2 linked regions of the Astyanax mexicanus genome follow. The protein of the gene in region 1 interacts with the protein of each later gene in a pairwise test. Links are inferred from orthologs where the notes say so. Each region holds a gene or a part of one and is shown on either strand. Other genes may lie near its edges. The genes, in order: jade1 and yju2.

Region 1 (12,589 bases):
GGAAATGTCCTGGTTTTTAAATTACCTTCACTGGACCAGAGAGCAGTAGACAGCGTGACTGTCAGCGTGGCGCTCTCCCTCCCCCCCTTCCGGTGCAGTCTCACAGTAAGTGCACCCCCACCCCCCCCCCCTCCCCCCACCCCCGCTACCAGATGTCCTGGTTTACCCAAATGAAAATATGGTCACCCTAGACAACATAAAGTAGCAATTAGTATGATTAGTATTAATCATCTAGTAGTATATTTATATAGCTCAGTAATATATTAATATAACCCCACTAAACTAATATTTTTACTCCTTTTGGGGGGGTTCAAGTCTTAATTAGCAAGGTCGAATCCCCAAACCATAATTCACTCCATGGCAAAATGACACATCACACAAATGGAGTTCTTCATACAAAAAAGATGGGGTAGGGACCCTTTAATGGTACCTTCAGTCCCACTGCTTAGCAAAACTAACATCATCTCAGTCCCAGACTAACTGATCTTAGTCACTAATCTACAGCTGACTCAACTTCAGCTCCCCTAAACACAGACAGCTTTACCTCAGCCTGCCTGACCTGGGATGACCTCTGTGAACCTGCCTGACCCTGCTCTTCACCTATGGGTTAGGTTCTGCTCCTGCACATGCCTGTGTGCACCTGTGCAGCAAGCATTTTTAACAAACACGTGGGTTTGAAAAGCTGCAGCTGCGGCAGGCAGTGCATGTTCATGCTTAGTTTATTACGAGAAAAGAAAGAATGGAAAAGGGGGGAGGGTGCAAGGTGGGATGAACAGAGAGTGAAGGATGAAAGCAAAAACTGAAAAAGTGCTTACTTCCATTATCAGACTCCTCGCTGGTGCTGGGCACCCGGTTTCGCTTCATTGTCAGCACCCGCTGTCTCCTAACGCCTCACCAATCTGCACACAGCAGTTTCATTTTAGACCCCAAACACAGAAAGCAGATGGTCTCGGACATTAGCTAATGACCACCACTGCGGTTTGTCTCCCAACAAGCTGCTCACAACACAGCTGACCAATATTTGCATGAGCAGGTTATGATAATAGCCAATAATGACCAGAACATAAATGATGTTAATAACAACAACTACTAATTATTAGTAACAGAATTACACATTCTCTTATTATATTAAGTAACAATACAATAACAACTCAAACAAATATTATATGCACCACAATGCACTGGAACTCAACTTTGCAAAACAGATATCATATGAATTATATTAATCATAATATCTACATTAGATCTAGGCCATTTCCTGATAAATATCGGCACCAGTCACCAGCTCTAGACTTAATTGTATATGGAGCAAGGCTAGATATTTTGTTTGTTCAGAATATTGTGAAACAATTTAACTGTAAACTCAGTATCACAAATGTAGCCAAACCGTGAGTAGCCTGCCACCAATAATTTTCATTTTTGCATGTATAATAAATAGGAAGCGTTTTTTTTTTGGATCAGCATTACAGAGAAATATAACCCAGTCATCAAGCGCTCATGTAAATATATGTATGAATATGCAGTATGAGTATTGTTTCTTTATTTTCTACAATGTGGATTTATGTTAAAGACATATTAAAGGAATTATGTATTAAACAAAATAAAGTGTTTGTTCTCCTCATTCTTCTGACCTAAACCCAACTGGCCCAAGCTGAAATCTGATTGGCCCCCTGAAGTGCCCCTGTCCTGTCACTCATTTTGTCTATGTACAGTAAAAATGCACAGACAATTGTTCAAATGTGCCAAAGGTTTTACACAACGGTATAAAATCTGAAAGTAAAATAACAGATTATATACATATAGAAGCAAAAAAAGCAGAAGCAAACAAGAGATTCCAGCAGCAAACGACTTTAGCAGCACAATCCACAAAAATGTAAGCAAATACATAAAATTATTTAATTAAAATATATATATTTTTTAAATCACATGTTTTACATTATATAGCTCTGGAAAAAATAAGCCTCTAAAACATAATCAAGAGAAGGATTGATGATCACAAGCCCTCAAACTAAGCTGAACTGTTTGAATGTATGCCAGGAGTGGCATAAAGTTATCCAAAAGCAGTGTGTATGGAGGAGAGCATGCCAAGATGCATGGAAATTAATGCATGTGATTAAAAATTACGGTTATTTCACCAAATATTGAACTCTTAAAACTGTGTGAATATGAATACTTGAGGTCTGAAAGCTCTGCATCTTTTTTCATTTTTGTTATTTCTCATTTTTTGCAAATAAATGCTCTAAATGACAACAATTTTATTTAGAATTTGGGATAAATGTTGTCCGTAGTATATAAAATAAAACAACGATGTTCATTTTACCTAAACATATACCTATAAATAGCAAAATCAGAGAAACTAATTCAGAAAACTAAAGCTGTCTACATTTTTTCCAGATCTGTATATATTTGATATATTTTTTTCTGTTTTGAATTTGCAACATGCACTTCTGATTATTTTTGATCCTTAAAATCTTGATTGCAGTTTTTGTTTTGTGTACAAGTTTTGGCACAAAATGAACTAGATTGTATCATGTAAACTTCCTAAAATTACATTTAAGTATTTGAACATGGTGAAATAATACTTGGCCCCTCTATGGATATTGTGGCCCCTTGATGGCACCTTACTCAGAAAAATCCTCCATCCGCCACTGAGCTGGAGCTTCAAAGCGGGAAGTAAAAGCAGCAACTAATGTTCAGCATCCCCAGGAACTGAGCGATGACACATTCCTAACTTTCAATGGATGTCAAATATAAAAAGAGTTTATTTCTGTAATTTCTAGTTCGAGCAACTTGTTTTTTATTTGGACAATGACATATCTCTGTTTAGCTGTACTGAACTTTTATTAAACTTAATTACACACTAAACTTGCATGTGTTATTATCCGATTTGCGTTTTTCTGCTTGTTTTGTACTAAACCGTAAATTAGCACTAGATTCCATTTTAATAGAGATGGGAATCCCAGGTCCAGAAAAAATCAAAAATTGAACCCAGGGCTGCATCCGCCCAGGTAGTTGGTACAAAACTTTGGGTTAGATTTGTACTTTCTGGACCTGGGTTACCAGGTAACTTACTGGGTACCTTTTTTCTCAAGGATGAAGTTTTATCTACAGCACTTACGAGCTAAAAACAGAAACACACAGGCCACGCCCCCCGCACGCGGGACAGCTGTCGGCGCGCGTGCCTGTCCTAAACTATAAACTACTGGTTTTAACCTGTAACCCGTCTAAAACACGTTTTTAGCTGGAGCTGAAATAACCGTTACATTTAAAAACAACAGCTATTTTAAACTCCACATTTTCAGCTCGCGCGCGTTCTCCTCCCTGCTCGCACGCTGCTGCTGTTTACAGCTGCCGGTGTTCTGCCGAGTTATGCTACCCATCGATACGTGCTTCCTAAAGGCACTGCGCATGCGCTGACCTAACACTTAAATTATTGATCGTGTTTTTTTTTGTTATAATAAATGTTTAATAAAAATTTTAACTCATTTTAACGGTCATTGCAGATATAAATGTGTAATTGGAAATTAATATTAATAAAAAATATATATATATTATTAAAAAATATCAAATGCAGTTTGTAATAACCTCTCATTACAATAAGCTTTACCATGATACAGTGGTTTATGCTATCCAAATATGCTCACGCTACATCTACTGGGACTTCTTCTGAGATCATGCTCTAATATAGCGTTTCTGTTGCATTTTTACAGTTAAATAACTATATATACACTAGGGTAACACGGTTTGACCGGGTAGCACAAGTCGACAGAACACCGGTAAACAACGCTCATCAACAGTGGTTTCTTGGCAATGATGTTTACTAACTAATATTAATCCTAATATTTAAAATGACAAATTTATTAGCTAGAAGCGCTCTTGAGGTGAAAAGATAACTAACTAACTAACTAACTAACGGGCAAACGCTAACAGATGTGGAGCTCAAACAAAAACAACCACAACAACATAATCTAACTAAATGACTGACTGCAGAGATTTCAATTAACTTATATCAATTAATATTTATATTCAAATATATTTATTCCCGACATCTAGCTCTGTTTGTTTGGTTTACGACCAGCTGAGCACAGAGGGAAAGTTTAAAACAGGCAGAAATAAAACTAGCTAAAGGCTGCACCGTTTTTTTTTTTTTTTGCACGCGGCTCTCCGTCAGCATCAGCGTCCCGAAAATCGCGCGTTACTCGGCGGAGACGGAGAGCAGCGCCTTAGTTTGGGGTCAAAACGTGCTAATATTTCTTCATCCTCTCCATTTATTTATTATTTTTCCCTCAGAACTTAATCTTTTGGCGCCATTTTAATGACGTACTACATTTCCAACTCCCCGTGCTGTGCCGAGTCCTGCTACCCGGCGATGTGTGCTACTTGCAGGGTTGCCAGGTCCACCAAAATATCCAGCCCAAATCAGTCTAAAACCCGCCCTTCAAAAGCTTAAACTAGTCCAAAATAGGTCTGTAACATTTAAAGCAAATCGCAAAACAACCATGAGTGAACGACTTAGTTTTTGTATGAAGGATTTCTTATCAGTATTGCTATTTATCTTTATGCCATAAACAATATTGTAACATTAGTGTTTTATTAGTTATTTAATAACAGTTTCATATCCCAGTCAAGAACATTTAATAGTAACAAATTTCCAGAGTAAATGACTTCTACGAACAATTTTTTTGTTCTTTCCCCCTCCTGAACTTCCTTGTATCCTCTTTAACATTTTTAATCGCATGGTAATTTCTGGTAACATTGTGATGTTTTGCATTTTTTAAGACTTGTTTTGTTTTTGTGGCGGCCGCGGTATTTTTAAAAGTAGCCCAAAATAACGCAACCTGCGACCCCTGAATTTTCACCCGCGACTGGATTTTCAAACAAGCCTAATTTAGCGGAAATACCATAAACCTGGCAACTCTGGCTACTTGCACCACTGCGCACGCGCTTACCCACACACTTTTATTTTTATTTTTTTGCATTTTTTTTAATGAGAATTCTTCGTGTTTCCATCTGATGCATCATAATAACACGATCTGGGGTTACTTGGTATTAATGGAGTGACGATATTACGAAAGAAAAAAATAATCATATCCGTTATATTTATATTAGCTTATCATCCTTACCTTAAAACAGTGATTAAAATATTTCACTGTATTTTTGCTAGCTTAAGATGTATATCGAATGTTCTAGCTAATGCTACCCACTGTTTCATTTAGGGAGTTTTACCTAAAACAACAACAACGCTACACAAGTGTAACACGTTTTGACAGGGTAGCACAAATCGACATAACACCGGCCCGTCTTGATCAGGCTAAAAAGGCTCCAGCAATGGCTTAAACAAAATTAAACATCCCCCTCCCTCCTCTCCCGAGAGCGTGGAGCCGAGTGGACGCTCTGGCTCTAGAAACGCGTGCTGCAGAAGCGGTGAATGTAACGTTAATGAAACGTGGACGGGTAACGTTACCTACATGGCTGGGCGCGCGCTGCAGGTCCTGCGCTGGCTGCGTTTTCTATGGTGCTATAACCAATGGTGCTGCGCACAGTTTGAGTTCAGGCGGCACGGCAGCAGATTGTCGCCTCCCCACCCCTGCTCGCGCATACACAACCTCTCACTACACTACACACACACACGTTACGTAGCCTACGTATGTGCTTGCTGGCTTCTGTGTTACCCCTTGTGGACACTAGAGGGCATACAACCTCATTCTGAAATGATGCGCAGTGAGCTCATACAATATATCGCTAAACGTTTCTTAAACGTACGTTTCATTATTTCACATATTTACTGTCGTCATTACTATTGTCAACGTTAAATACAAAAATACATGAAACATCGAAAAACATGTTGTGTAGCTCTTGCATTGCAATATGCTGTCTCTGCCACGCGAGGGCGCCAAAGCGCTAAACTGTAACATTGGTGACTCAGTAAATTTGGGCACACACACACACACACACACACACACACAGATTACAAGATGTTGCTGCTGCGCTACAGAATTATTAATCTTAACTCTAAATAAAAGGCACGAGAAAAAAAGTTACAATGCAGTATAAAATGTGCTAGGCTACCATGGTCAGCGCCTAAAAGTGTCTCACTAAATATAATAAAAAATATAGTACATGATTGTTCCACGAGGGTCGTTTTATCGCAAGCATGTTTAACAAATCATCATTCATCCATGCAGTTATTAAACTGGCAAAGAAGGCAGGCATGCAGACACTAAGTGCATTAAAATCGTGCGTCACTGCCACTCGCGCTGCCATGCACTGCCACGCGGGGGCGCGAGGGTCCAGATAGTGAAAATAAAGAGAGAACGCTCTGACAGATATAGCTGTGATTCTTTAAATGACCTATAAAAATAATCAGTTGTACATACTTACAAGCATATCCGCTGTATTCCTAACTAAAGGCATTGTTTTTTTATTATAATTATCTTCCTCAGATCTTCTTACTCACCTGTATGGCGTTTTAAATCAGAATCCCTTAACATAACAGACGTTGAATATCTTTTGCATTACAAATGTTAATGTTTTTTACACTAATTAAATCAACATTTAATTAGAATTTGACTCTGTTGATACAAACATAAACAAAGTATTCATTCAACATTAATCTGGAAAATTAAATGTGTTTCAACTGATTTTTGCCCCAAAATCCTGTGGTAATTTACTGTTTTTACAGGGCCTGGTGATGTATTAGTGCCGCGTGGTGGCTTAGTGGTTAGCACGTTTGTCTTCCAGTTCTGGATTCAAGTCCCTCTCTGGGTGGAGTTTTCATATTGATCTCTTGTTTCCTCTTATAATACAAAAACATGGAGATTATGTAAACTGGGTACTCTGGGTATAGTGCCCTGTGTATGTTTGGCTGCAGACATCCTAAGTTACAAAAATACATTTCTCAACTCACCTCAACATGCCTTTTGCAATCATTTAGTCCGCCGTGGGCAATGCTAAAATCATTATTACAAACTGTACAGCGGGCAAAAATTTCATTGTTTTTTACCAGACATGGATATACTTTAGAGTAGTCAGAGGTAAAATGTGTTAAAATTTTAAATACAAAAAAATTCTAACATGCTAGTCTTTCCGTCGGACGCTCCGACGGTGTCGCTCACGTCAAATTACTGCTGTTTGACTGTGTCACACTACACGGACCATTGTCGCTTGAGACACTGAAATTCGGATCCGACGTACGTAATTTGACGGCACCGACAAAATCAGGTCAAAATCGGGCTAAAATCATGTAGTCTGATCCGGGCATTACGTAATGAAGGCATCCCTTTTAGGATGGGAAAGAACACTGCCCACAAACACTAAAAACCGATTGGCTTTGAAATGAACATGCCGATCAGAACCTTCGCTGTTTTGCATGCGCTTCATGAATATGCACATGAGGGAGGCGCCTCCCACTCTTTCACACACACTGTGTTCGCGTTTGTGTTCACTTGGGGCCACTTGTTGTAGAATCCAGGAGATTTTATGTGACTTGCAGGCATCAGGGAGTTGTTATTGATATGCGGTGGACTACCACAACTTCTAGGAGACCTGGGACGTCTGAGGCTGTATTCCAGCTTTTACATTTTATTTTATTTTAGTCTTACTTTTCTTTGTTCTGTTTGTTTGTTTATTTGTGTTTTTGATTTGATGTGTTTGTGATGTTGGTTGTATATGCTTAATCCACACATTTATCACCTTAAGGACATCTCTTCTTTAGTTTTCATATTTTACTAAAACTGACAGTAATTGATATAATATTAAATAATATTAAATCCACTGTGAACATTTAATTTGACATTTTATTAACAAATATTCATGAAAGAAGGGATACATAAAACAGTGTAACAATTGCAATTCAAGTAACTCCATATGAGAAATGATCAGTAAGAAGGGGATAATTATATTGCGACACTTGGTAAATATTGGAGGTAAATGGAGTGTTTGAGACAAGTACTAGGAGGAGGTCGAATTGAAGACATGGTCAAATCAGACAGAGGAGCTCTTGTAAAATAGGAAATCACTCCATAAAGTCCAGGGCCAGAGTGGGCTATAGAAAGGGTGTATATTTTTTAGCATGCATAAACATGATTTTTTTTACCATGCATTGGAAACATGCTAGAATACAAAAAATCAAGTAAAACAGAACACTGATACAATTCAACCCTAAATTATTTTTGTGCCTCTTTCTTAAAAAAAGACTCAAAAAAATCTCAGCCTTAAAGTCTGATCTCTGTCCATTCCTACAGAAAAAAAATGTTCATGTATTTGCTTATATTGAGATACATTTCAAATATTGTGTGATTTTAAAACATATAAAAAAATGCAGTACATTAAGAAAAAAATAAAGTTTGGTTATTTTCATACATTTCCAAAGAGTGAGTTAAACAGTAAAGGAACAACATAATTAAGAATTTAGATATTACTGAATGACTTCTTCTTATAACCTTATGATTTACTTTACAATTAGCTGTTGTTTACTTTCACTAGCCTAATAATGGGGTGTTACCTATTGTAGAAGCATCTATCTAACAGTGGTGAATTATTTTAACAGCTCTATTTAGTGACTGCAGACATATGAAGCTCTTAACAGACAATTAAATCACATATAATTTTTAATATGTGAGAGTTAGGAGTGTGTCTTTAAACATTATTGGAGCCTGTTAGCTTTTTATCTTAGCTAGATTACATAATTCCATTACTTGTTAGCTACATTTAGCACCTTAATTTCAGTTAACATTAACTAAAGAAGCAAACAAGATATATATGCCAAAATGGTGGACATTCCTACAAATTAATAAATTCAACCATTTGTGGTGCAAATGCATACTCTAAGTGTGGCTATGGCTAAGCTTTTAATTTTGTTCCCACGCGTCTGTACGTCTCATAGCACGTGTCATTTAAAGTCATTTCTCAAACTTCTCAGTATAACCAACACATACCATTTGACCAAATGTTTGTGAACACCCCTTCTAATGAATGCATGCAGCTAGTTGAATTTGCACCCTTCACTACAATACAATAGATGTGCAAAGGCACAATAGTTTATGCAGAGATGGGATAAGTTGGGGTGGTGATGAACATCCTGTCCTCACCAAGTCTCTTGTCTAATGCTAAAAGGAAGAAACAGGGAAAAACCACATGCCTCAAAACTTTGGTCCATAAAGGGTATTTTTAGGTTAAGTTGGGGGGGGGGGGGACTCTGATAAGCCATTACCCCAATAAAAAACAATACTTGGCTCTAGTGTGGCTACCTGTGGCTCAATATGTGCGTGATTTGTGTGTTCAGTGTGGAAAAACACTTAAATGTGCAATTCTTTAGCCCTCCAATATTGGAATCTTATTTTTTTTCTGATTTGACACCATTACTTAACCTCAGTGGTCTAAAACTCCTTGCTACTGATATCTCCAGTTCAATCCTATAAGTAACTAATGATGTGTTTAAGAATTGTGCAGGGGGCCAAAAGCCAAATTGATATAGCGATCCTGGTCCCAGTGTGTACAAAAAAGCAACATGATGCATTAATCTGAACAGGTCCCTTTATAATCTATTATAATAATTCTACCAAATTATATCCAAGTGCATCTGAAGTGTGTAAGGTAGGTTCTGGACGTTTATAGATTTTTTTTTTTTACAAGAAGTGTACTAAAGATCCAACCATGACACAGCATCAGTGGATGTATGGTGAAGGTCATTTGAGAGCCAGAATGGCGTCGTAGGACTTGCCCGTCCTGCACACCTGCACATCAGTGAATCCGGCTGCAGTGAGCATGTGTGTATATTGTGAAGGTGGGTGCTCCATGCCCTCTGTCTGGACCAGCATGTTTAAAGAGAAGATCTGAGCCATGATTGGACCTCTGTGGTTCTCAAACAGCAAAGCTTCTACAAGCAGAACACCACCCCCTACAGAGACAGAGAGAAAGAAGAAGGAAGATACAATTGTGCTTTAATGGGCCACTTCAGCTAAAAGAGGGAGAAAGAAAATGTAAAAATGTTTGACAAGACCTTGACTATACATGATAATAGTTCCCTGCAGCAGAGTCTAACAGGGAAAGGAAGCTGACAGAGAGGAAAGGAAGGAAGCGAGCCCTAGTTCACTCCTATTTCCAATTTCCATTTGTGCTCTATAAATGACTACTGTGCGAGTTATTTTTTGGGGGGGTTATTTGTAAATGTAATACTTCTGCTCTCCCAAATGGTGCTTTCAGCCCTGTGGTCCTCCTCGAACCACCCAACCTTGCTGCAATAGTATTTAGGCACCACAGCAACTCAGCAGGTAATGTAATGTGGATGTAACTCTTAACAGCTCAACAGCTTCATAGCTAGCTCCTGTCAACCTGCTTTGGTGTGCTCACCTGGATGGCAAGCTGCATTAATTTTCTTCAGCAGAGTCAAACACTTCTCCTCCTTCCAGTCATGAATGATCCTCGCCAGAACGTACAGGTCAGCTGCAGGAAGGTCTTCTTTAAAAAAGTCTCCTAAACACACCAGCGATTAATCAGTTATTTAATTAAAAATACATCCAGCTACTTCTCTTCACAAATCGACACGTTACTTCCTGACTGAATCTGTGTCTTTCATCATCTTAAAAATGATCTAAGGGCTGCAATGATGTTCTAGGACAAAAAAAACGGCTATGCATGATTCCATAACTGCAATAAATGATTCACTGACTGCTACTAACAACTCGATAACGCCTATAAAAGATTCACTAACTGCTATAAATAATTCACTGACTGCTATAAAGAATTTAGTAACTGCTACAAATGGTCATGTAACCCCTATGAATGATTCAGTTATAACTATTCATGGGATAGTAGTTACTATAAACGATTCATTTACAGCTATAACAAATTCTCTTAATGATTCTGTAATGATTTAGGTCTGTAATCTCTGATAAGAACCCCACTGACCTTCCTGAAACCGGATGGTGTCATCACTTTGAATGAAATGTTTCTGGGCTGTTTGGACCACTTTGGGCAGGTCCAGAACTATAACCGTGGAAGCAGGGTAGGCTTTTGCTAACTCACGTGCCAGAGCTCCAGAACAGCCTGAGGAGAGACAATATATTAATAAATATTATTATCAAATTTAAAATAATCGATTAATCTTAATCCACAAACTATTATCTGTGTATTAACTAAACATGTTCAAATTCTGTTGCTCCCTTTGACAGTGACCCACTTTCAGAACTTTATCTCTGCCTAAAACCTTCATGGACATTTCTTCTTTAGTGCTTTCCTTAAAAAACAGACACTACTCCCCACTATGTGTATTACAGTGTGTCAGAATGGGTGTGTGGATCATTACCGAGCATTAACAGCTGCGCTAAAGTGCAAATGAATGGCTTGGGTTAACACACCTCCAACATCCACTATGGACTTGAAGCAGGACAGGTCAAAGGCTGTTACTATATCATGACCATCAATGATCCACGTTGAGTTCATCAAACCCATAAACTTTAGCATTTCTTCCTCCGACCTGAAATGAACAAAATATTTTTAAGCTACACACTCAATAAATTACACACACACACACACACACACACACACTTTAGCCATCTAAACATTCTTATTGTATATACATGTGACTTTTTAATGTTCTATGGATAGTGTAAGAATTAAAGAATACTACTACTGCTTATTGTAATAGCTAGAGTCTGAAAAGTCCAGTTACCTGAATATACTTCAGCATAAAATAAAAGAAAGCTGTAGAACCAAACTAAAGTTATGAAAACTACTGTACAGAGTTTTGAATTAGTTTATAGCATTAAACAGCACTTTTTAAATCAGGCAACAGTATTGCTTTTCTTAGTATTGTGTCAAAATATTACAATACATGTTGTGTACCATGAACACACACACACACACAAAATAAAATATAGGAAGGCACAATGACCTCTAATTTTCTAGCTCTCTGCATACACCCACAAGCAAAGGAACACACTCACACTCCTAAAATAAACACACACATACAGCTCAAATATTACAACCTCCCTCTTTCTCTTAATCTTCAACAGTCACACACACACACACACACACAATGGCAGCCTGTCACAAAGAGTCAAATCCAAGCTCTAAATTTCTTCAGCAGAAACTCTCTGACCCAGAAAGTGTCACATATCATCACGTCACTTTAGCCAGAAGACAAAACAATCAAACAACACACTCCGCCTGATTGATCCTACTCCCACCATGCTCACATCCAGGGAGTCTGCAGTGTAGACCCCCCTCCCCCACCTGCAGTCTATACCCACCACCGATTCTTTAAAAGTCCCCTAAATAAAACAACACAGCATAATTTAAAGCAACATTATGTGAGAATTGCTACAAGGTGGGCAGTGTACTTTATTTTTACTCTACTACAATAAATACAAATAAGGCCTTTACTCAATAACAGCTGTACACTTGCATTTGTTGACAAGCAAAGAGGTACAGAATCAATACACTCATATGAAAAAATTTGGGCACCCCTATTAATCTTAATCATTTTTAGTTCTAAATATTTGGGTGTTTGCAACAGCCATTTCAGTTTGATATATCTAATAACTGATGGACACAGTAATATTTCAGGATTGAAATGAGGTTTATTAAC
Region 2 (13,331 bases), on another chromosome or scaffold:
TCTCTCTTTCAGTAATCACTTGGCACAATGTGCTTCTAACTTTCTAAAGAAACTGTAGTAGTTTCTGTTAGCATTTAGCCTAGCATACAGCATACAGCATCTGACTGAAACACTCTCTTTATGGAGAAGTTAAGCAGTTAGCCATTTATTTATTAAACCAGGTCTTAAAGGTCACAATTTCATAACCTTTAATCAAATTGACATTATGAATGTCAGAATTAAATGTTCTTCAATAATCCCTGTGTTTTCATTTTACATCAATCCTGTGGCTAATAATTCACCACAAGTTTAATCTGTGTGCGTGTGTCCATCATTAGGGCTTTCTATCCACCACCGTCAGCCCAAACGACTGCCGCTTTCTCTCAAATGTAATTCAAAGTAGTCAGGATTCTGTTAATCGTCTTAACTAACACTGTAGTCTCTAACACACACACACACAGACCCTCTGTCTCTCCATGCATGCACTCAAATACAAAATCTACCACAGCAAACACAATTAACCACTTACATCTTCAAAGCTATTAAAATTTTGAGATTCAGCTTTTTGACATTTGCACAAATCAAACTCTATCTGTAATACACACAAAATGCATTGATCTGTGGTGCACTGAAACTGTGTTCACTGGAATGATGGTGCTCCCTCCAATACTTTCAGGATGAGGTTGGGTGGTGATTATTCAACATTTGAACCTGACTAATGCTCTTGTTGCTGAATACAATCAAATCCTTTCATCAATGCTCCAAAAGCCTTCTCTGGACTGTAGAGACAGCTACTACAACGAAAGTATAGTCTTTTAATAATGTTGTCTTTTAAGTGTAAATGTTAAAGAGCTTGTATGTGTGTCAGTTCTTGAACTGTTTATCCTTATATCTGCAATTAATAGTGATTAAAAACATAGCCATCAAAGAGATAATAAAGCCTTTAAAAAGTTTGACAGATTAATTTTTAGTCCAATTTTGAGATATCACAAGCATGCACTGAGCCAAATAAGATCAATGTCAGCTATGCGAGTGGCTGCCAAACTGCAATGACTGTTAAAACTTTAAAGTTCCCCAAATCCTTCCATTCTAAGAGAAATGCCTACTGAGTTCTGGGAATTTTGTGCGTTAGTTTGTTTGTTTATCTTTATCTCCAGTTACCGATCTCTTTCCGGTTTTGCGGAGAGTGCAGCATGTGACATTTGGCCTACTTCCCTTAATCTGGTTCAACTTTCTGTTCAGCTGTAATTTCTTTCTCTCTCCAATGCGGATTTCACGAAGCATATTGGTTGTGCAATAGCAATAAATTATACTGCACTAAATAAAGCACTACAAACAGGTGCACACACACACACTTCAGACAGCAGACTCAACTCAACATGACCTCTATGGCAGCTTACAGATTGGATTAAACAGCTTTTGATTTAAGGTCTATGAGGAAGTAGGCATGAGTTCATTAGGACAAACTTATTTTTTTAGCTAAATATATCCAGCTGCAGTTTTGTACCTTCTCACACCTTACTCAGCTTATTACCACCTTCTTTAATAGGAAAGGGTTCTGGAAAGGATTTAATCATCATTCTCAAAAGAGTGTCTTTTTAGGGTTCCTATTGTATGTACTCAATTAGAAAAACAGCTCACTTTTAGGTATGCTGCTCTGTCTGTTTAAACTTTGCTTAAGATACAGGTGTCATTGGTCCATTCTCCATTCTTCAAGTGTGGGAGCGGGCAAAATAAGGGATGTATAAAATATATGGCAACCAGAATAAGTGAAAAGACCACATAATTTATCCCAAACAATGCCGTTGTTAATGACAACATTTAATCGCAACCAGTGTAGAATGAACCACTCCTTCTCAATGTAGCAAACTTTTGTACGCTTTTGTAAATCTTGTCACTAAAAGGGGTGAGGGTGGGGGCATCCAAGAGTTTGTAGACAGGGAAGGCTTTACAGTAGATGTTACTTAGTAAAACAGATGGAGTAAATACTATAAGAATCTGAATGCATGTGGCCCAAAGAAGCATTAGCCAGAAAGGTCAGGTACTGATAGCGCATGTGTCGCTGCTTTAGAACATCCCATTCTTTAGGCAAAACTTGTTAAGATTATGGCATATGCATACAAGGCTAAATTTCAGCAATGGGCTCACTTAAAAGCCTCTGAATTTTATTAGATTTTGAAAATTACCTTTTATATTAATCTTGTGGCTAATAATGCACCACAAGTTTAACCTGTGTGTGTGTGTCTATCATTAGGGCTTTCTATCCACCACGGTCTGCCCAAACGACTGCAGCATTCTTTATGTATTTCAAAGTAGTCAGAATTCTGTTAATTGATGTAAGTAACACTGTATTCACTGAATGGGAGGCCATAAAATCATACAAACAGTACAAGAATCAGCCTCATTCAGAACCCTTTATCCTCGTTCAAATCTTTATTAATCTATCAAGTCTATATAAGGCAAAGTGGTTTAGAGATGGGGTTTGAAATTACTAATGAAATAAACTTCTTAATTTAAATCACTGTAGTTTAAAAATAGACCTATTATCGTGGCTGCAAACTGAAAAACACAAAAATTGAGACTTTTTTTCTGGCATATACTGTATCTGAGATATCTACATCAAAATCTTCCTAAAATAAAATTTTTCAAGTATTTCAAGAAACACGAAAAACATATGACAGTTGTTATGGCTATCTGAAAATGAGCAATGGTTTAACAGGATAGTTTATCATACAGTCGAACAGTAGAACCAACCATAAACAATCCTAAATCAATTTGTTTTAAATACTGATTGAGAAGACAGAAAACAGTTAATATTTTATATTAATCCATAATATTTATGGAAATTCAGAAACTCAAAAAAAAAAGACTCAATAATAACACTAAACACATTATAGTGAAAATCTTATCACTTACCAATTAGAGACAAGCCCTGAATCATGAAGATTAGTTTAGTGAATGTAGCCAGCATCTTGGAAAGCTTTTAACATTGTCTGTTATTTTTAGCTTTTTTAATGGTTTAATGTAATACATGTTTTTATTGATTGCAGTTTATGTTAAATAGCATAATAAAATCTGAAAGAACTTTTCCTAAAATAGTTTTATTACCTTGAGGAAGCCTATCTTAGCTTTTGTAACTGTGGAGTTTTTCTGAGGTAGGTTAACTTAGTTAGCTTAGGTAGCATAAGGCTAAGTCAGCTAACTAGCTAGGTTAGCTAAGCTAGTTTAAATTGAAAAGTTTAAATTGAGAAAAGTTATTTTTTCCATTGCATAAATTAAACATTTTTAATGTACTTTTGTGTTGCTACAATTTTTGTTACAAAAATCTTCTTACACATTTTTGACTAACTCGTTTCCAAAAAACTGTTTTAAGTGTTTATTCTGGTAAATTTAACTAGTTAAATTAGCTAGCTAGCATTAACCTAGCTATCTAGATAGACTTTTGACATTATGGCAGCTAGCGTGTTAGCTTAGCTAGGTTAACCAGCCTATCTAGCTAGTTAGGTTAACTATTTCTACACTGTTTTAATGTAATAAATATATTATTTGCATTTTTATGTTGAATATAATAATAAATTCTGAAAACACTTTTCCTAAAATAGTTTTGTTAACTAAGCCAATCGTAGCTTACGTAACTGTAACTTTTCCTGAGGTAACTTGGTTAGCTTAGGTAGGTCAAGTTAGCTAACTAGCTAGGTTAGCTAAGCTAGCTAGTTAGCGTAGCTAACTAAAAGTTTAAATTGAGAAAAGGCGAGGTTATTTTTACCATCTCCTAAATTAAACATTCTTAAACCTTAAACCTACTTTTGTATTGCTATATTTATTGTAACAAAAATCTTTTTACATACAAAAATTTTCTTTGCATTTGTGACAGATTTTTTTTCTCCAAATAACTAACTTAAAAGTTTAAACTGAAAAGGGTTATTTTGTCCATTTCATAAATTAAACCGTTTAAGGTTAGATGTACTTTTACATTACTTTTTATTAGCTAACAACAATTTTTGTAACAAACATATTCTCACAAAGAGAGTTTTATTTGCTTTTTTGACTGGCTCCTTTCCAAATAACTGGGTTTTAAGCGTTTATTCAGGTACATTTTGTTAGATGGGTTAGCTAGCGTTAACCTAGCTAGCTAGGTAGACGTCCGGCGGCTAGCGAGTTAGCTTAGCTAACTAGGTAAACCAATCTAGCCAGCTAGTTAGCGTTAACTGTTTCTAAGTTGTTTTATTGTATTAACTACATTTTTATGGTGAATATCATAATATTTTTAAGTACTTGTATTAGCTTACCTACATATTTACTCCAGGGAAGCCTAATTAAGCTTTTATAGCTAACTAACTGTTAGTTGACATAGGTTGGCTAAGCTAACTGGCTAAAAGTTCATATTAAGAAAAGTGGCGGTTATTTTAACCTACTTACGCCTGAACTCTGCTGATCACTGCATGGCGTCCGCGGCTCCTTCTCCCGCTCTCTGCCTCTCTTTTCTCCTTCTCTTCAGTTCGCAGAAGCAGTTTGTTCAAACTTTAACATCCAAAATAGCTCCATGGTGAACGGCGGTTGGTGTAAGAAGCTTCAGCTACAGTCAGAACTCCGAGCGAGGAGCTGCTGAAGAGCCCGTCTCTCTGCGCTCAGCCTCGGTCTCCTCACTCACAGCAACAGCAGCATCAGCAGCCGCACTTCACTCATTCTCTCAGCTCCAGGGAGTTTATAGCTATATATCCCAGATTTTTACATTCACAGCAGCCTGCGACCACCCCGGTTCCACCACCACCGCTTCCCGCAGCTCACACACATTATTTCAGTTTTTTCTCTTTCAGAAAAGGAGAGATGGGGGGAATAAACCGCGCGCGCGTCCCCTCCCGCCCGCGCGCATCTGAGCTGAGGGATGGGGAAGGGATTACGGCGCGAGAGACGCGCTCTGTTTTTAATTATTGTGATTATTCATCACTCTTAATCACAAACGAATAAATAAATATATAAATGAGTAAATAAATAAATGCCGCGTGAATGGATAATTATGTGGGTAATTACGTGGGATGGAACGTGTAGAGTAGCCTATTCTTTCATGGGTGACTTCGGTTTTTGCTGTGAATTTGTTGATTTTAACCTTCAATATCAATTCAGCAAATAGTATGTTTAGCACAAGTTTTACAACTTTCATCAAGCTGTTTTGGATCCGTTTTTTTTAGCGGGTGCCGGCATTTTAACCAGCATTTAATAAAGCAGGCTCGCTTTTCAGCTGCCGGGGTTGGCCAAGACTTCAGTTTGTGCACTTTTACGCGCCCCATGCGCTTTTTTTTACGCGTGCCCTGCGCTTTTACGCGCCCTGTGCAATTTTAACGCATGTCACACGTAAAAGCGCACGAGGGTTCTATGCGCTTTTATGCGTGTTTGTGCGCTTTTATGGATTCCGGGCGCCTTTACGCATCCCGTGCGCTTTTATGCATCTCATGCGCTTTTATGCGCCCTATGCGCTTTTACGCGTGCCATGCGCTTTTACGCATAGTGCAAAACAAGATAAAAACAAGATAAAAACACTCTCAACAACAAAAGCACTACTAAGGTAGAGATAATGGTGTAATTCATCTGTAATTTTTAATATTCTAATATTTTTTTGAAACATTGTTTTCGAATTTGTTCTGTTTTTTGTGATATTTTTTTATCCACATTATAAGCAGTAATATACGAATTTGCTCTCTTTTTTGAAGTAAAAGTAAAACAATTTCACTTAAACCCAGTTATGTAAAAAACAAACAAAATAGCTACACGAAAGTAACTACACAAGTGTATTCTGGTGTTTTTTAACAAAGAAATTCTATTCTGTTTATAGACTTTAAACCCAAAATCCAGATATCTCACTCTCTGGGAATATGATAACTAATAATTATACAACTATTAAAACAACTTAACTTTCAGTGAAAGTTAGTATGAAAAGATTTAGTTCAACGCAAGAAACAGCTTAAACTGTTAATAACTTAAATGCTGCAAAAACCTAAAAAAAAATGAATTTTTGTGGAGATACACAGCCCAGCTGGCCACCAACGGCAATAGACGTTAATTTCATGTTGAATGTTGGTCATGACGTCAGATGACAAAAAAATTACGCCAGGATAACGTCTAATACTGTTACGTGCCAGCGTGGAGAGATTGGATATGAGGAATTTGCTCACGAAGCTGGGTTGCGGATACATCAGAGTTTCAACAAACAGTTTATTACTCTCAATCGGCCTAAAACAAAACACCTTCTTTAAGGTGGTGCTCCTGCTGCTGTAGACTACGGTTCTTCAATCCTGGTCCTGGCGCCACCTGCCCTGCTAATGTATGGCTTTCTCCTCTCTCAACACACTTGATTTAATTCAACAGCTTACTAACAAGCCTTGTCAGAGTTGAAGTGGGTGTGTTAAAAAAGGATTTTCATTAAAATTTCTTATCAAACATAAAAAAACTTTTTATCTAATGCTCGAATAGAAATCCTCAGGATTTATTCATATAATATCAAGCAGAAAAGTGTCAATCGAGAAAATATTATAGAAAAATACATACTAGTAAACTAGCTCGTGACCAGCATGGTGTATGTTTTTTTTTTTCTGGATGACCAGCTAACATTAATCTGTATTTTTAAAAGAATAATATATTTCTATGACAATTTCAGATATTTAATTGTTAATATTTTAGTGCAGGCATCAATATAAAGCTCTGGAAAAAATAAGAAATCACTTAAAAATGATGAGTTTCTTTGATTTGACCAAATTGAAAACCTCTGGAATATAGTTAAGAGGAAGATGAATGATCACAAGTTATCAAACCAAGCTGAACTGCTTGGTGGCATAAAGTTATCCAAAAGCAGTGTGTAAGACTGGTGGAGGAGAACATGCCAAGATGCATGAAAACAGTGATTAAAAACCAGGGTTATATACCCTGATTTCTGAACTCTTAAAACTTCATGAACATGAACTTTCTTTGCATTATTTGAGGTCTGAAATCTCTGAATCTTTTTTGTTATTTCCATTTTCAACCATTTCAATCATTTTCTGCAAATAAATGCTCTAAATGACAATATTCTTATTTGGAATTTGGGAGAAATGTTGTTAATAATTTATAGAATAAAACAATGTTAATTTTATTCAAATATAAATAGCTAAATCAAATAAACTGATTGAGAAACTGAAGTGGTCTCTTAATATTTTTTTCAGAGCTGTATATGACATCAGCTGTCGTACCACCATGGGTTGCTCTGTGGTTTAAGAGCAGCTTGCCTAGAAATATTAGGAAAAGAAGCATTAAGATTTGATGCAATATCGCCCTCTTCTGCCTCATATTTACAGTGACATCACTGAGGATGGCTGCAGTTTTCCCGGGTGTCTATATGGGGCAGTAGAGAGCCAGTCTGACTGTTTCTCCGTTTCTCTGTGGAAGAGAGTGAGACTGAAAGGAGTTGTGTGTTTTTCGGGCTGTGTTTTTTATTGATCTGCTGCAGTCATGTCGGAAAGAAAGGTCTTAAATGTAAGTACATTAAATACTCTTCTATTTCTACTTGTGATTAAATGAAGCAAATGAATAAGGAAGCGATAGGGTTAGTCAGAATGCTAATATGCTAACCTGTTAGCTACATGAGGCTAACTGACTAAGTTAACCTAGCGCAGGTCTGAAGATAGCTACAGACACTAGCTTAGCTAACCCAGGTAAACAGATAACCCAGGTAAACAAACACAGATAAATACATAAACTCGAGTATCTGCTGTTAAACGAAACTATTTACACAACATAATTTCAGAACGTGATAAATTGAGGCTAAACCCCTGTAAGACGTTTTCATTAACTTACCTGGCTAGCCTAACAACTATTTTGTGTTAGCTACATTTCTAAATTAATTTGTTTGATGTGTTTTTCCTTATATACTGTTAAATATTTAGGTCAGATTTAGAAATATACTTTAGAATTAAGTTATTAAAAGGTTCACGAACTTTCAAGCACAACTACAGCTACTTACTTCCAATACATTTTAAAGTACAATGTTACAGTAATAGTCCCTCGAATAGTTCACTCGAATAAAATATTATTTTGCTAAGGTTGCACAATATTTCATATATATAAAAAGAATATCCATGTTTTCAGTAGAAGTGACCAGAATTAACACGTTTAAGAAAATGGTAACCTGTTTTTTTAGTAATTATGTCATGTAAAAAAATAAAAGCACCACAGATTTCCGTTTGTATCAAACACCAAAAAAAGTCGTAACATTACATGTTTGATATAATTTGACATCCTACCTGATACCTGCACAACTTGAGCAGATTTCTGAGCAGAATTGAGCGATATTTCTGTTTGGATCAATTTGTTTGACTTGGTTTTCCTTATATACTAATATGACTTGTGTCAGATTCATGCAGAAATATGACAAAAAAAAAAAATAAAGGGTTCAGAAACTTTTAAGCACCACTATAACTACTTTTGTCTGTGCACATGCACAACTTGAGCACATGCTCATACTGCTGCATAAAGATAAGATACTCTTTTCATAAATGTATAGCAATAATTTTAGAAAATCTAGCATGTTTCTACATGTTCTTGGACATACGTTTTGTGTTGTTGTGATGACTAATTTGTTTACACACTGCATGGTATTGCTTTTGTAGAAATACTACCCCCCAGATTTCGATCCATCTAAAATCCCCAAGCTCAAACTGCCCAAAGACCGGCAGTATGTGGTCCGATTGATGGCTCCATTCAACATGAGGTAAGAGACTTAGAAAATTCATTACTTACATGACTGGTTAAATTGTGTTGTTTGTTCGTTGTTTGTTTAAATGTTTCCTATCTCTTTGCTTCAGGTGTAAGACGTGTGGAGAGTACATTTACAAAGGGAAGAAGTTCAATGCAAGAAAAGAGACAGTACAGAATGAGCTGTATATGGGGCTGCCCATCTTTCGCTTCTATATTAAATGCACAAGATGTTTGGCAGAAATCACATTTAAGGTAAGCAAGTGAAGTAATAAAAAAATACATGGAAATTACATTTCCATCTTCACTGCAGTCTTAACTTTCTGTTTTTCACATTTCCAAATAGACAGACCCAGAGAACACAGACTACGCTATGGAGCACGGTGCCACAAGAAACTTTCAGGCTGAGAAGCTGATTGAGGAGGAAGAAAAGAAAATCCAAAGGGAACGAGAAGAGGAGGAGCTAAATAACCCCATGAAGGTAATATTGAACAACTTATTTTTTATTTGCAGCATAATAAATACTTATACTAAAGACCACCATTATTTGTTGCCTTTATTATACTTTCTACTTAACCATTAACTTTTCTCAGATACGCCAGAATTCTGTTTAGTTATCCACATGCTCTGGTGTTTCCATCAGGTTCTAGAGAACCGTACACGGGATTCAAAAATGGAGATGGAAGTCCTGGAGAACCTACAGGAGCTGAAGGAGCTGAACCAGCGGCAGGCTCAGGTGGACTTTGAGTCCATGCTGGAAGAGTACAAGGAGCTGGAGAAGAGACAGAAGGAGAAGGAGCAGGAGGAGGATGAGAGAGAGACCAAGTATGTGCTTTATACTACTTGTGCTTTATACTATACTACCCAAGTATGTGGTAAGTATAAAGAAATCTTCAGCCTTTATTTGAATCTTTCCTGGAAAAGGCTCGAAGTTGCTAATGATGAAAGTTGTTCATGCCAGAATGTCATTCCCTGGTTTGAACGTGGACGTTAAACTGTAAAACAGCCTATAGTGAATATGCGTTTACAATGAACTTATACAGAGTGTTTTAGTCCATTTTTTTCATTTTGAAACAATACACAGTACGGTCCAGTCAGAGCAGATGTCATTTGTATGTGTTAGGTTAGTAAGCAGTTGAAGATGCAAAAACAAGCTTAACTTTTAATGGCAATCAGTGTGTACAAGTTTTGTTCTCTCAGATTATGGAAAATGAAGAAACTGGTGGGATGATGCTATTTTTATAGACTATATGAATGAAAGAACTGTTTGTTCTGTTCAGGGAATGTCTTCTAGTTTTATGAGCATTGCTGTGAGTATTTGATACCCCTCTATCCTACACCTGGCATTGGGCAAGGTGGCATGGTGGCAACAGGTTCATGTTTATTTGCTCCAGAATGTAATATTCCAATAATAATACTTGTATGTTAAAGGTTAGACAAGCTGGCTGTATGCATACATTTTAAGAACTGTCCATGTATTTCTTAAAAGACACTTTTAAAAGACACTTGGTCTCAAAAATGTTCACATGTCTATTTTCTTTTTCCCCCCTCCGCTTTTTTTATTTCCCTCTCTGCAGAGAAATGCTGGATAGAGCTTTAGTGAAGAGGTTGAGGGACTCTGACTCGGACTCGGACTCAGATCAGGAGGAAAAGAATAGAAAAGAGCAGCAGAATAAAAACGCTGCTCTGAAACCCACAGATATCCTGACTACAAAGGAAGGAGCAGACATAAAGGTACTTTAAGGAACAAACATATCCTTGCTGCTGCCTTGTGAGGAGATGGACAGTGATATTTGAATCTTACTGCTGGTTTTTACAATCTATGAAAAACTCTGCATAAAGAATTACATTGCTTAGGAATGTTCATTTTCTGGAATTGGAATTAAGTTTTACAGAACAAATTTGTTTGTCCATGAGATTAATTTGTCTTAATGAGATATGTAATTTTAGATTCTAGTCAACTCTAGGTTCTGAAATTTTTGTTTGTCCATTTTAGCTTCTTTTTCCCCAGATTTCACACATATAAATCTTCTATTATCTTCCATTTTTGGTTCAGTTTTGCCCATTTTTTTTTTATAATATTGCCCACACTGGTCTTAGTTATCTTCCAAAATGTAAAGTATAGCTAGAGTAAAGGACATGTTAGCATTGTTGCTTTAACCCCTTGAACCCTTGGTTTATTGATCAGTTAGTCATCATAAGTAGAAATTATCTCAAGGCCAATCAGGGCCTCTTTTGTATCCTATGAAGGTTATGACTAATGTTATGAAGGTCAAGAACTGGGGGCTACAAATTCTTTAAACAATTGAGTTGGATAGGTGTAAACTTCTAATCTGAATGTTTTTGTAGTTATTATTATTATTATTATTATTATTGTGTTCTATTGTATTTTGTATTTCTCTATAGTTGACTTATAGCTTTATATTTTTACCCATCTTTTCACCGTCTCCATAGGGCTCCTCCACCGGGGTGAAACGCCAGAAAGTTGAGAGCTGGGAGAGGAGTGTTGGAGGTTTGGGAGGAAAAAGTGCACTGGGATCACTTGTAGTAAGGAAGAAGCCTGCAGCCACCACAGCTACAGTACAGCAGCCGACAGCTGTAGGCCAGACAGGTACAAATGCAGGGGACTGTACATGTTACATTAGAATTAGTTTACCAGTAAATGTGTAGTCAGTGGTTTGTTTATTTTTTATACTGCATATTAAATCTTGTCGAAAAGTGGGGATTTTGTTTGCAATCATTTTTTACCAAAGTATTCCAACTTTTTGAAATTTGCATCCACTACAAAAGCTTCTTCCAACCACAAGATTTAAACTACACGCCATTTAAAATTGGAAATAAATACAACACAAGAATTAGTGTGGTTTGTTGACCCTACATCATAAACATAAATAAATATCTGAAACTTTTTTTTGTCATTTGTTCCATGGTTGAGGGGTTGCATACAATCAAAATGATTTACAATAACTTTCACTGAATTGGCAAAAATAGCTGTCTTATTTCCTAACCTTTTTTCTGTTCGACCAAACAAGCGCAACATAAGTATATTTATTTTTTCAAATCAGCATCCCAATAATGTTGTAACAGTTAAAATAACAGTTAATGATGAGAATGAATGAAAAATAAGAATGTTTAGATTTAGAAATACATGCACATTTCTTTTATTGTATATATGTTTTATCAACTTTTTAGAACAAATTAACACTATATTTTATGCCTCCCAGAACAACCAGGTTAACTCTACAGCTTAAACCCCAAAGTCAAGTTTGTGTAATAAAAGAATGGAAAAGGAACACTTAGGCTTAAGTTATCAAGCTACCTGTGAGCTCCTGCTTTGTGAAACCTCTTTTTGTTGTGACAGATTTGTATTAAATTCTATTCTAAAATATATATTTTTCTATCTTCTCATTCATATGCAGCTTCTTCTAAAACTGCAGAGACCTCTGCTACAGCCACTGCCGGCAGCAGCCAACCAGTGGTGGTCCAGAACGGTTCCTCTCTCAGCCTGCTGGGGGCATACTCGGACAGCGATGACAGCAACTCTGACTGAGCTTCTAGTGCATTAGTGCTGATGAAGACTATTTTTACTGTTAAAATTCGCATAATACAGAAAAAAAAATCTTTCCCCCTATTTTAAGGTGGAGAGTTTTGTTGGGTAGATATTTTATTTGGACATAATTTTTAATAATATTCTAGTTGATGGATTTATAATTGAAGTAAAGACATTTCCTCAGTCATGTTTATCATATTTCTTGGTTTTAAATAAGAAGTTTTTTCATGATGCCATTTTATTTACTAAAATATCTCACACACATCTCCCTCACACAGATATGATTACTCTTTCTTTTTATGGTTTGTCATACAGCTCACACACATGCCCTATCTTTTGTTTGATATGTTATTTTTACTACTTTTGTTCCTCCAAACTCGATTGATAATCCTTTCATAGTAGTGCAAAAGTCTCTAATCCACCCTGATTTATATATTGAGCTTATCTGACCTTATCGGTTAGGAGGGTGGTGTCACCCAAGCACAGCAGATGGCTATTTTCAAACTAGCCTGAGTTTGTTTTTCCTGAGAAATCAAGACAAATCCTGGACCACTTCTAGTTAAAACACTTAAAACACGCCCTCTTCACTAAAACCTCCTCTTAATATGGGACTTCAGTAGTGTACATGTAAATGTAATGGGAGGCTGATATATTTTAACATTTATAAAAACTAAAGTAAAATCAAATTGATGAATATATTAGTCACTGGAATAGTATTTTAAAGTGTTAATATATTCCCAAGTAATTAAAATGGCTGGTAAAAAATAAACATCATTAGAATACATTTTTTTGCACTGGTTGTTTTCTGTTAAACAAACATGCATTATCCAAATTATCTTGTACAGGTACTTAATTTAGGTTGAATAGGTTTACTGTAAACTACCTCATATTGTATTTTTACTTCCACTATAACAGTGGCAGTAATTCAGATAAAAAAATGTCAATGAAAATCAAAGTATATTATTTATTTAGGCCTTTTTGGAGCATTGCTATTGGTCTATTTAGCAAAAATTCTGGTACACTGTGAAGAAGACCTCTTTACATTCCACATGACTAAATGTAATTTTGCAGCTACATTTTA

Evidence for each region.
Region 2: the proteins of jade1 (region 1) and yju2 interact in a two-hybrid assay, tested with the Homo sapiens proteins (2 studies listed by BioGRID and IntAct). The two-hybrid records come from large-scale screens. The link is inferred for Astyanax mexicanus from reciprocal best matches to the Homo sapiens genes JADE1 and YJU2.

The regions. Positions count from the first base shown.
Region 1 is NC_064421.1:35,252,870-35,265,458, forward strand, and holds the start of jade1 (protein Jade-1), read right to left. Parts: upstream 5,624-12,589; 5' UTR 5,465-5,623; intron 900-5,464; 5' UTR 865-899; coding exon 816-864; intron 1-815. Other genes in the region: asmt2 (acetylserotonin O-methyltransferase 2), read right to left, coding at 9,687-9,898, 10,351-10,473, 10,909-11,046, 11,358-11,476.
Region 2 is NC_064411.1:46,959,076-46,972,406, reverse strand, and holds yju2 (splicing factor YJU2), read left to right. Parts: upstream 1-7,351; 5' UTR 7,352-7,458; coding exon 7,459-7,482; intron 7,483-8,615; coding exon 8,616-8,716; intron 8,717-8,810; coding exon 8,811-8,955; intron 8,956-9,046; coding exon 9,047-9,181; intron 9,182-9,343; coding exon 9,344-9,525; intron 9,526-10,277; coding exon 10,278-10,434; intron 10,435-11,154; coding exon 11,155-11,311; intron 11,312-12,119; coding exon 12,120-12,250; 3' UTR 12,251-13,034; downstream 13,035-13,331.